Linked DNA regions of Rattus norvegicus. The protein of the gene in region 1 interacts with the protein of each later gene in a biochemical or structural test. Links are inferred from orthologs where the notes say so. Each region holds a gene or a part of one and is shown in the gene's direction. Other genes may lie near its edges.

Evidence for each region.
Region 2: the proteins of Snw1 (region 1) and Vdr form a complex in vitro, tested with the Homo sapiens proteins (2 studies listed by BioGRID, with this or other methods). The link is inferred for Rattus norvegicus from reciprocal best matches to the Homo sapiens genes SNW1 and VDR.
Region 3: the proteins of Snw1 (region 1) and Ppil1 form a complex in vitro, tested with the Homo sapiens proteins (2 studies listed by IntAct, with this or other methods). The link is inferred for Rattus norvegicus from reciprocal best matches to the Homo sapiens genes SNW1 and PPIL1.

What each region holds. Positions count from the first base shown.
Region 1 is NC_086024.1:112,833,429-112,837,076, reverse strand, and holds part of Snw1 (SNW domain-containing protein 1), read left to right. Parts: coding exon 1-6; intron 7-3,424; coding exon 3,425-3,541; intron 3,542-3,648. UniProt on the Homo sapiens protein: Involved in pre-mRNA splicing as component of the spliceosome. As a component of the minor spliceosome, involved in the splicing of U12-type introns in pre-mRNAs.
Region 2 is NC_086025.1:130,913,915-130,917,662, reverse strand, and holds the start of Vdr (vitamin D3 receptor), read left to right. Parts: upstream 1-905; 5' UTR 906-922; intron 923-3,748.
Region 3 is NC_086038.1:7,315,963-7,319,710, reverse strand, and holds the start of Ppil1 (peptidyl-prolyl cis-trans isomerase-like 1), read left to right. Parts: upstream 1-929; 5' UTR 930-1,108; coding exon 1,109-1,164; intron 1,165-2,738; exon of another isoform or gene 2,739-2,819; intron 2,820-3,229; coding exon 3,230-3,384; intron 3,385-3,748. UniProt on the Homo sapiens protein: Involved in pre-mRNA splicing as component of the spliceosome. PPIases accelerate the folding of proteins. Catalyzes the cis-trans isomerization of proline imidic peptide bonds in oligopeptides. Catalyzes prolyl peptide bond isomerization in CDC40/PRP17.

The sequences.
Region 1 (3,648 bases):
GCTAAGGTGATTACTTTGGAACACTGTCTCTCAGGACTGTCCCTGGGAATTGCTCAGGAAGTAGTTGCAGCCTGGGGACATTTCTTTTTTTTCTTTTCTTTTTTTTTTTTTTTTTTTATTAACTTGAGTATTTCTTATTTACATTTCGAATGTTATTCCCTTTCCCGGTTTCCGGGCCAACATCCCCCTAATCCCTCCCCTTCTTTATGGGTGTTCCCCTCCCCATCCTCCCCCCATTGCCGCCCTCCCCCCACCAGTCTAGTTCACTGGGGGTTCAGTCTTAGCAGGACCAAGGGCTTCCCCTTCCACTGGTGATCTTACTAGGATATTCATTGCTACCTATGGGGTCAGAGTCCAGGGTCAGTCCATGTATAGTCTTTAGGTAGTGGCTTAGTCCCTGGAAGCTCTGGTTGCTTGGCATTGTTGTACATATGGGGTCTCGAGCCCCTTCAAGCTCTTCCAGTTCTTTCTCTGATTCCTTCAACGGGGATTCTATTCTCAGTTCAGTGGTATGCTGCTGGTATTCGCCTCTGTATTTGCTGTATTCTGGCTGTGTCTCTCAGGAGCGATCTACATCCGGCTCCTGTCGGTCTGCACTTCTTTGCTTCATCCATCTTGTCTAATTGGGTGGCTGTATATGTATGGGCCACATGTGGGGCAGGCTCTGAATGGGTGTTCCTTCAGTCTCTGTTTTAATCTTTGCCTCTCTATTCCCTGCCAAGGGTATTCTTGTTCCCCTTTTAAAGAAGGAGTGAAGCATTTTGATCATCCGTCTTGAGTTTCATGTGTTCTATGCATCTAGGGTAATTCAAGCATTTGGGCTAATAGCCACTTATCAATGAGTGCATACCATGTGTGTTTTTCTGTGATTGGGTTACCTCACTCAGGATGATATTTTCCAGTTCCAACCATTTGTCTATGAATTTCATAAAGGCATTGTTTTTGATAGCTGAGTAATATTCCATTGTGTAGATGTACCACATTTTCTGTATCCATTCCTCTGTTGAAGGGCATCTGGGTTCTTTCCAGCTTCTGGCTATTATAAATAAGGCTGCGATGAACATAGTAGAGCACGTGTCTTTTTTATATGTTGGGGAATCTTGTGGGTATACGCCCAAGAGAGGTATAGCTGGATCCTCAGGTAGTTCAATGTCCAATTTTCTGAGGAACCTCCAGACTGATTTCCAGAATGGTTGTACCAGTCTGCAATCCCACCAACAATGGAGGAGTGTTCCTCTTTCTCCACATCCTCGCCAGCATTTGTTGTCACCTGAGTTTTTGATCTTAGCCATTCTCGCTGGTGTGAGGTGAAATCTCAGGGTTGTTTTGATTTGCATTTCCCTTATGACTAAAGATGTTGAACATTTCTTTAGGTGTTTCTCAGCCATTTGGCATTCCTCAGCTGTGAATTCTTTGTTTAGTTCTGAACCCCATTTTTTAATAGGGTTATTTGTCTCCCTGCAGTCTAACTTCTTGAGTTCTTTGTATATTTTGGATATAAGGCCTCTATCTGTTGTAGGATTGGTAAAGATCTTTTCCCAATCTGTTGGTTGCCGTTTTATCCTAACCACAGTGTCCTTTGCCTTACAGAAGCTTTGCAGTTTTATGAGATCCCATTTGTCGATTCTTGATCTTAGAGCATAAGCCATTGGTGTTTTGTTCAGGAAATTTTTTCCAGTGCCTGGGGACATTTCTTGAAGCCTTAGCTCCTCAGTTAGCTTACCATTCACAATAAGAAATTACAACTCCCGAGAGCAGAGCTTAGTGGACGAGCACACATTTAGCATCTGAACCTGATGTACCCCAAAGACGAGAGACAGCTTCATAGGGCACTTTAAAATACACTAGATGTGTTGCTATACCAGTCCCTTGAATACCATGTAAATCTCTCTGGTATATCATAGCTATCAGAAGCACATAGATGAGAGATAGAGAGAGGGAGGAGGAGAGAGAGAGAGAGAGAGAGAGAGAGAGAGAGAGAGAGAGGGAGAGGGAGAGAGAGAATGAATATGAATATGAATGAGAGAGAATACCCTATTGGTTGAAGATTAATTCTTCATGAAGGTCAAACTTCTAGGTTAGAGTTATTTCCAGAAAAAATATCTCATTGTTCACATGAGAAAGGACAGCATGAGTTTTCAGGGGTAGGGAGGTGGTTAGGGGGGGTTCACTCCTTTGTTTCTTTTTAGCTATTCTGCTGTGTAGCATTGCTGTTCATGGTATTGTCAGGAGTGGTGTTCATGCTTGTGACTCCTGCACACATGAAGCGAAGCAGGGGGATAACAAGTTGAAGGCTACTCTGGACTACATAGCAAGATCTTGTCTGAAAAAATAAGCCCTAAAAATAAAACCTTCTGTTGCAGGGCCTGGTGGCACACTTGAGGTGCAGGCAAGCCAATATCTATAGGTTTGTGGCCAGTCTGGTCTAAGAGTGAGTTTTAGGACAGCCAGAATTGTATAGAGAGACCCAAATACATAGACTCAAAAAACAAACAAACAAAAAATCTTATGTACCTCAGATGCCAGAGCTTCCGGAGTTAGTGAGGGTCTATAAATTATGGGATACATTTCCAAGTTCTAGTTTCTTATAGGATTGGAGTCTACTGCATGAGTCATATTGATGGGTGAAGGCGGAAACTTTAGACCAAGAATTAAATATGAAATTACATAGTCGTGCTCCACTGGAAAGGCTCTGAACCATCTTATGTGGGTTGATTCATATCTATGCAACACTGTGGTCTGTTGAGATGACACTGAAGCACTGTGGGTCTTCATTTATCTATGGATCTTTTTCATATGGTTCTTTATATTTTTGCTTTGGGGCCAAGGTCTCAGTCTGTAGCCTGGAACTTGCTGTGTGGGCCAGACTGGTCCTGAACTTGTAATCTCAACTGTGGTTGCAGACACGTAGCAGCACGCCCAGCCAGCACTGCTTCACGTTAGGAGACAATGGATTTAAGGGTAGCATTTGATAGATGAGTTAGAAATCGGGAAACATAAAGCCAGGCCTGAAAGATATGATTCCAACAGAAGTTCAGCATACTCCCTGGGTACAAGCAGTTTGTCTGCATTCTTAGGACCTAATTTTACTGTAGTCTGACTATTGGACGGCAGGCTTAAACACTTGGGCTCTTGCATCATCATGTTAGTGATCCAGTCTTAGTTCTTCCATTTACTGACTGAATTTGCCACCATCCCTTGGCGCTCTACCCCACCTTCCTGTGAGAGGGAGATGTGTGGCAGCCTCATGCAGTTAACTAGGGTGACTAGAGCATGAACCCTCCATCGAAAGCCTTTACTGTTGTGTAAAGGACGTGAGTGTAAGAGATAGAAATGTGAGTGTTCTCAGAACGGGCATGCGCTAGTAATGTTCTGTGATAACTGCAGCCCCACTGTGCTGACCTGCCTTCGGCTTTCATTTCAGGGGTATACGATTCCACTAGATAAACGGCTGGCTGCTGATGGAAGAGGACTTCAGACTGTCCACATCAATGAAAATTTTGCCAAACTGGCTGAAGCCCTATACATTGCAGATCGGAAGGTTGGTCTTTTACAGTTTGCTGAGTGTTTGTGCATCTGTGAGCCCACATCAGTTTACCTGAGATCTATAGGGACACTGGCAAGTGTGTACACCAATGGCAGCAGGGG
Region 2 (3,748 bases), on another chromosome or scaffold:
GACATTGTGGGTATCTATATTCTAGAACATTCTTACGTTTATTTGTGCATACATCCTCCTACTCAAAGGAGGGAGTCCTATCGACCCATTTCTTTCAGCATCTGGTGAGTAGAGAGTAACCTTTATCTAATTTTTCTACGAGTTCTCAGTAGCCACCCATAGTTCCAGGTCTTGAGGTGTATTTTGTGCCTGTTTCATTCCTTCACACAAGGGCTCTGTGGCAAGAGAGGATCTGGGAGGCAGAGACCTCAGAAGTTAAGGCAAAGCCCGCTGGAACGAGACGCAATTAGCCAGGAACATGTTCCGTCGCTGTAGTTAACAGAGGAATGTCAGGTAGGAGAGAGGCCGCAACTCCAACTTCCATTCCCGTCTCCTTGAGCTAATCCTAACCAGTGGAGTCCGGCTGAGCGCCCTGCAGGAGAAAGTCGTCGGCGATTCCCCACTGGCGCGCCGAGGACGGCTCCCTGCAGCGCGCCGCGGGCATCGGGGTCCCGGGTCAACTCAGGTACGGGTGACACACCTGGCGGAGGCGTCTACAGCAGACTGGGTAGAACCACGGCGGCGGGGGTGGGTGGCGGATACGTCACAGGTCACCACCGGCAGAAACGTGTATTTACACACACGATATCATCAAAGATTGCCCCACGGAAGGCAGACGCCTGCGCTGCGCTGTGGCCGGCGATCCTAGAGCCTCTCACAAGGCAGGGTCTCCAAGGCGACAGTGCAGTGGTTGCTTCCAAGTCAAGAAAGTTTCAGAGCTGCAGAGGACTGAACCTAGTGGGCGTGGTTGAGGGGCAGGGCGGTCCGGAGGTGGGGCCTTGCAGGGGCGGGGCCAGGTGCTGAGCAGTCTCTGCTTGTCAAAAGGCTGCTGTCGAGCCCCAAGCGCAGGGAGCGCCAAGCAGTGTGTCCACCGCCAGACCAGGTGCGAATCGGGGAGCAGGGGGAAGGGAGTCCTGGGTGAGTGATTAGACCCGGGGCGGGCGTCTTGGGTCTAGAGGTCTGAGTGTCCAGGTACAAACACTAGAGTCTAAGACTCTAAAAAAGCAAAAGTTGGGGACTGAGAACCGGGCTGTGGTGCCATGAGGTTGGGACTCTGAGAGGGCACCCAAGTCTGAGAAAGCTGAAGTTGCGATGCTCAGGACGCTCAGCTTAGGAGTCCTTCGCTAGGCGGGTGCTCAGCACTCGACAACAAGAAGCGTTTGTTTCTTTCCTCGGACCGGCGCTTTGGCTTTGGAGTCGGGGAGTAAGAAAGGGAACGATTGGCTGTCGATGGTGTTAAGGTCTCTGGAGGTGGAGTGTGGGGAGCCTGTTTATTACCTGTTTATTACCCCGCGGAGCCCATGTGTGATCACCTGTGATAATGGAGTGGACTAATTTAAATGGAGTTTTCCTTTCTTGACTTTCTAAAGTCACCGGTGCTTTGAGACTAGTGTGCTGGGTTTCTCTTTCAGGAGAGCCTGTCTACAGATGTGCGAGGTTGGGGGGTTTCAGGGGCGAGCATGGAAATTGAGAAAGGGGTTTTAAGGAATAGTTTCTGTTTGGAGAGGGAAGGGACTTGATCCAGGAGGAGAATCTAGGTATGTGATCTCGAGGTCCACGGTCTCCTCTATGACTATCCCCCCACCTGAGGCTGAATCTGCCTGGGCTCTGGGAGCCTTGGCTCTCTGAGCCTAAGCCACCCTTCTCCTCCTGCTGCTGCTCCTCCTCCTCGTGTTCCTCCTCCTCTTCCTCCTCCTTCTCCTCCTCCTCCTCTTTGTGGTGAGTGAGTCAGCCTCCTGTCTGGGCCCAGAAGCAGTGAGAGGGGCCAGAGCCCAGGCAAGCAGTTGGGCAGGCATTTTCTGGGCATTGCAAAAATTCCCTTGGACAGAGTTCAGGTCTGCTCCAATGCCCTGAGGAAGGCATCTTCTTCATGACAGCAGGGGGTAGGGGTGTCAGCAATGGCTGTTTGATGGACAAGGGATGATTCCAGGAGATGACCATGAAGAGACAGTGGTTTTGTGGTAAATCCATACCTCTTCCTATTTTTACGAACTAGAGATACAGCCCAAGACTGTGGACTTACCAGCTACTGGTTCCATTTCTACTTTGCCAGATACCCATCTTGTCTCATAAGACAGGCATGCAGGAGAAATCAGAAGGTTCAGGGAGCAGAAAATGCAAGGAATGGTTTCCCCAGGCTTGGGAGCGAGGACCCTTAACTCTGTGAACTAAGGGTATTTTACAGTTAGGGGACCATCTCTATTCCTTCCTTAGCTGAAGACTAGAAAGAATTGCGTGGATCTCGCTGAAATACTTCTCGGTACTGGCATGCAGCCAGAGCAGGAGGCAGTAAGAGTAAAAGTCTCTGGTTTTGTTTTGGATACTAGAGACCCCTTGAGCAGAAATAGGTGACCTGGGGGCCTTACCCGGTACCCTTTACTAGCTTGTCTGAGGCCACAGGGAGGCCATAGAAACATTGTCTCAAACTGCAAAAGGTAGGAATCCCCAGTCAGTGTTCCTGGTTCTCTGTTACTTGGTTCCCAACCAAGATGGAGGACGGACTAGTAAAGGAGAGAAAGAAGGAGATTTGGGCAGCTTAGAAGAGACCCTCATTCTTCTCCAGGTACAATCATAAAGTCTGTGTATTCTCTAGAGGCCCTGATCTGTTGAGCTCTACTTACTTATAACATGGTCTCTCAGTCTCCCTCCCACCCACCCACCCAGCCCCCCTCTGAACTGATCTCTTGGAGGGATTGAGTCCCTTGGGAAGCCCCCAAAGACCCCCTGAATCTGCCTTCAGCACAGATTGCAGATGCACAAAGCCTAGGCTTCCAGAAGGCCTAGGGTCTAAATGGCGAGACCAAGAAGTTACCCAATCTTATACTTTAGGGATTGGCTGAGATCAGCCCCTTGGCTGCTGTTGTCTACACAGCAGAGAGGCAAGGCCAGGGTGCCGGGATACCCTACTCTAATTTGTAGCTGGAGAGTGGGTGAGGGGGCTCAAGCTTCCGTTTGCCACTGCTGTGAGCTCATGCAGGTGGAGGGAATAAGGACAGGGCCATATTGAAGTGGGAGCCTTCTGTGTGTCCCAGCATGGTGGCAGCCCCCTCCTCCAAGGGGTGCCAGCAGAGGAGGGCTCAGCCTCCAAATCAAGCTCCAGGAGGATCAGCAGCTCTGGCTGTCTACCGTTGCTGTTCAGTCCGGGGAGGCTCTGACTGGGCTGAAGCCAGCCTAGCAGCAGCTCTGTACTACCAGGACCTCCCTTTTCATTACGCGTCTCTCCCGTTTTGCCCTTAACCTTGCTTCACGCCAGTGTCTGATGGATACGCCAAAAAAGAAAAAAGAGGGCTGGAGAGATGGCTCAGCCGTTAAAGGCTAGGCTCACAACCAAAAATATAAGAAAAAAGAAAAAAAAAGCGACCGTATGATTTATAATCCGAACTGGGATTCTCATGTGTGAAGGGGGTTTTGTGTGTGTGGCGACGCCAAGACATTAACCCAAAGCAGGGTAAGCCGGATACCGAATCATCCAAACCCAGGAGAGGTCACACTGAGTGATAAAGGGACAAGGGGGCTTGGGGAGACTTAAGGCTGAGGTGAAGGTGGGACAGCACGATCCTGAGGGCAGCCCCAGCACCCCAGTCCACTCTCTGGCCTAGTCAGCCAACTCCAGTCCTTCCTTAAGGGTAGAGTTGCCCCTGGCCACTTTGCCCCCAGACTTAGCCCACCACTGTAGCGACTTTCCTTTGTCCTTCACTTGTGACTGCCC
Region 3 (3,748 bases), on another chromosome or scaffold:
AGGGCAGATGCATCTTAGAACTGAAGAACGCCTTGTAAATATTTTCCTACTTCTTTGTTGTTAATTATGGGATGTTTAATATAAAATATACATTCCCCCCATGGCTCATTGAACTTGGCAAGAGCTGTTTGGGCTAGACTGGGTGGCTAGCCAGCTCCGTGGATTTCTTCCCTGTGGCCTCTTTCACGGTTCCTGAGGTCACAAGTGTATATCTGCCTGGCATTTGCATGAGTCCCCGGGACCTAAATTTAGGTACTTTACCCACTAAGCCCTGTAAGGCAAGCAGTCCACCAAGTGACCTGCATTTACAGCCCTGAGGATACTAATTTATTCATTCCATCTCTGTCTTGTCCTCCCACCAGACCTCTGGACTCTTGTTTCTCCTATCACCCTGAACAACTTTGGGTGCTACATCTGCCGCTCCAGCGGTGGGCGCTTGCACCACCACCTCCTTGGGACAGTCATCTTAAGCCTTGTCATTCTCTTCCCAGCCTTTCCCTCTTTCCACACGCTCCTTGCTTTTGGAGTCTGTGATTTGCCGCGTGGCACTTAACTGCGGAATCTCAGTTTTCTCCTCTTAAAAACAGGACTACTATTATTCACAGGATTGTTTTAAGGAACGCTGGGAGTGGTGGTACATGCCTTAAATCCAGCACTCGGAGAACAGAAACAGGCTGATCTTCATGAGTTCGAGGCCAGTCTGGTCTACATGAGTTGCGGGACAGCCAGGGCTGCGTAGTAAGTAGTCTCTGAGTCATCCAATTGCGGGAACTAAGAAATTCTTCACTGTTTGGACATCCCTCCAATCACAGTGAAGAAGGCTGTTCCCGCCTTCCGTGCCTAAACAGACCAATCACCGTTCCGGAGCATGGCGCGAATCGCCTCTGGAGAATCTTGCACTTGTCTGGGTCCCTGCACTGAGCATCTCGACTTGCAATCAACCCCTTTCCGAGCTTCGAAAGAAGGATCCCTTGTCATCCTTATCCCACAGCCTTAAATCCTCTCACCCAAACCGGCTGATCGGCGGGAACCGGAAGTGTGCACCAGGGACGGGTCCCAGTGAACTCCGCCGGAAGTAGTGATTGCTAGGGGATTCCCTTCGCTCAGCATGGCGGCGATCCCCCCAGACACTTGGCAGCCGCCCAACGTCTACCTGGAGACTAGGTGAGGGTTGGAGAGGGGAGGAATTGGCCGAGGACACGCGGGTTCGTGCCGCAGCGGCCAGGTTAAGAAAGGCCAGCCTGACTCGCAGGTTGCCCACACGGAGCTGCGGCCGGGAGTACCTGTGGGCTCTGAAGGAGCCCCTCCAACGTCGTGGGAGACTTCGGCTACTTCTGCCTGCTGTTCTTTTCCCACGCCGTTCATTAGTTCATTTACCTCTGTCCATCTTCATTCATTCATCCCCTCACTCACTTATTCTCAACAAGTGTGTGTTGAGCATACAAGTTGTGTAGGGTAATACAAACCTGGGTAAAACACTATATTATGGTGAAGGAGACGGATATGTAAACACTGTGGGACAAGTAGTAGAGTTGTCTGAACAAATTGCTTTGAAACTAGAGGAAGATTTATTTTCTCCACCATCTAGAGTGATCTTTGAGCTGGGCATATATGGTTTAGCATCCCTAAGGCCCCCGAGCTCAGCACCTTGTATACTCCGTGTGGTTGCACATGCCTATAATCCTAGCACTCTGGAGATGGAAGCCCGAGGATCGAAAGTTCAGGATCTGGGCTGGACTGGAATGCTTACCTAACAGTGTGTGTGTGTGTATATATATATATTTTTTTTTCTTTTTTTCGGAGCTGAGGACCGAACCCAGGGCCTTGTGCTCGCTAGGCAAGCGCTCTACCGCTGAGCTAAATCCACAACCCCATATATTATTATTATTATTATGATGATGATGATGATGATGATGATGCCACCTACTAGTGCCATGCCTCAGGTGTGTGTGATTATGTTCTGTTTACTATTGTTAGCAGCTCCTATCCAAAGGCCTTGTTTCACATACTTGCTTCCCGTTTTAGCAGAGAAATGCCACATTTTGCAGATTTACCTGCAAACTGATTTTCATAGTGATTTGAAGGGAACCTTACTTGGAGCCTGGTCAACACTTCTACTGACTTTAGCCCCGTTTCGTCTGCCCCTGCCTCCGGAGTGTAGACTTTAAGAAGGCACACACTACCACTCCCAGGGCTACAGAGTGCTCATATTGCTGGACCTCCTGAATCTGGGCCGTACAGATTCAACTCAGTCCTTAAGTCCTTAGAGCTCAGTGGGTGACAAACAGCAGGAGGCCCCTGCCTTGTCTCCTGCTTCTGTCTTATCCTTAAAGGTACTAGGGGAAGAGAATAAAAGTTCTCATCCTGGGTCTGTGTGGACATACGAAGTAACCAGCTTTAGTGTGTGCTTTACGCATTCTCTTTAGATTTGATTTCTAACATGTGTGTGGGTATGTGCACATGAGCACAGAGGCCAGAGATACGGGGAACCCTGGAAAGGGATGTATAGGTGGTTGTGAGGCCTCCTGGTGTGAGTGCTGGGAACTGATCCTTTGTAAGAGCTGTACATGCTCTTAGCAGCTGAGTCATCTCCAGCCCTGTTTGACCCACTCTTTAATGCACAAACTGCTTTTATTTTCCTGTTCAAATTTAGTTTTAATGGGTGATACGTTTACATGATCAAAAAATGTAGAAGTTAGAAAAACTATTTCTTCCTTCCTTTCTTTTTTTTTTTTTTTTTCTGGAGCTGGGGACCGAACCCAGGGCCTTGTGCTTACTAGGCAAGCGCTCTACCACTGAGCTAAATCCCCAACCCCAGAAAAACTATTTCTTGCCCTCTTATCTGGTCAGCTGCCACTCCCCCCCTACCCCCACACCCTTGTTCTGCAGCCCCCAGACAGATGGAGATGTATATAAACACACTTTAATGTCTTTTTATCACATCTACAGATGACACGCAAGGTCCTGTCCCTTGTTTGGGGGTTGGTTTCAGAGCATCCGTACATGCCCTTAGAATTTTGGCTTGCTTATGCTTGGCTTTGCTTAGCACATATGCCAGAAGCTGCCCTGCGTGTTCACACTCAGGTGGGTCGGCCGTGGCCCCGTTGCTTTGTGGGTCGCTTCCTTCCGAGTGTGAACTCTGGGCACAGCTAGCCGCCTCGCACAGACAGCCGGCAGGAGTCTTGGAGCGACTGCCTGCTCTGACCTTGCCGCCTGTTCTCCACTGCAGCATGGGAATCATTGTGCTGGAGCTGTACTGGAAGCACGCTCCAAAGACCTGCAAGAACTTCGCGGAGCTGGCTCGGAGGGGCTACTACAACGGCACCAAGTTCCACAGGATCATCAAGGACTTCATGATCCAAGGCGGAGACCCGACAGGCACAGGTACTTAAGATTGAGCCACCATCTGCTTCTTCCGTCTCATTCTGTCATAATTGGATGACAGGGTCTCATAGCCTAGGCTAGCCTTCCTACTCTCTGAGACTGATCTAATCTTCTGATCTTCAAGCCCTAACCTCCTCGCTGCTGGGATTTCTGCCTGCTGCCATGTGCAGTATTTGTAGTGCTGGGGATTGAACCGAGGGCTTAAAGTATACTGGGCAAGCACTCCACCACTTCCCATCATCAGCACTCTGCCAAATGGATTACATCAGTAGCTGCACGCACGCACCCACGTACACCTTACCCCACCACCACCACCACCACCACCAGGGTTATCAGTGTAGCCCAGGTTGTCCTTGAACTCCTG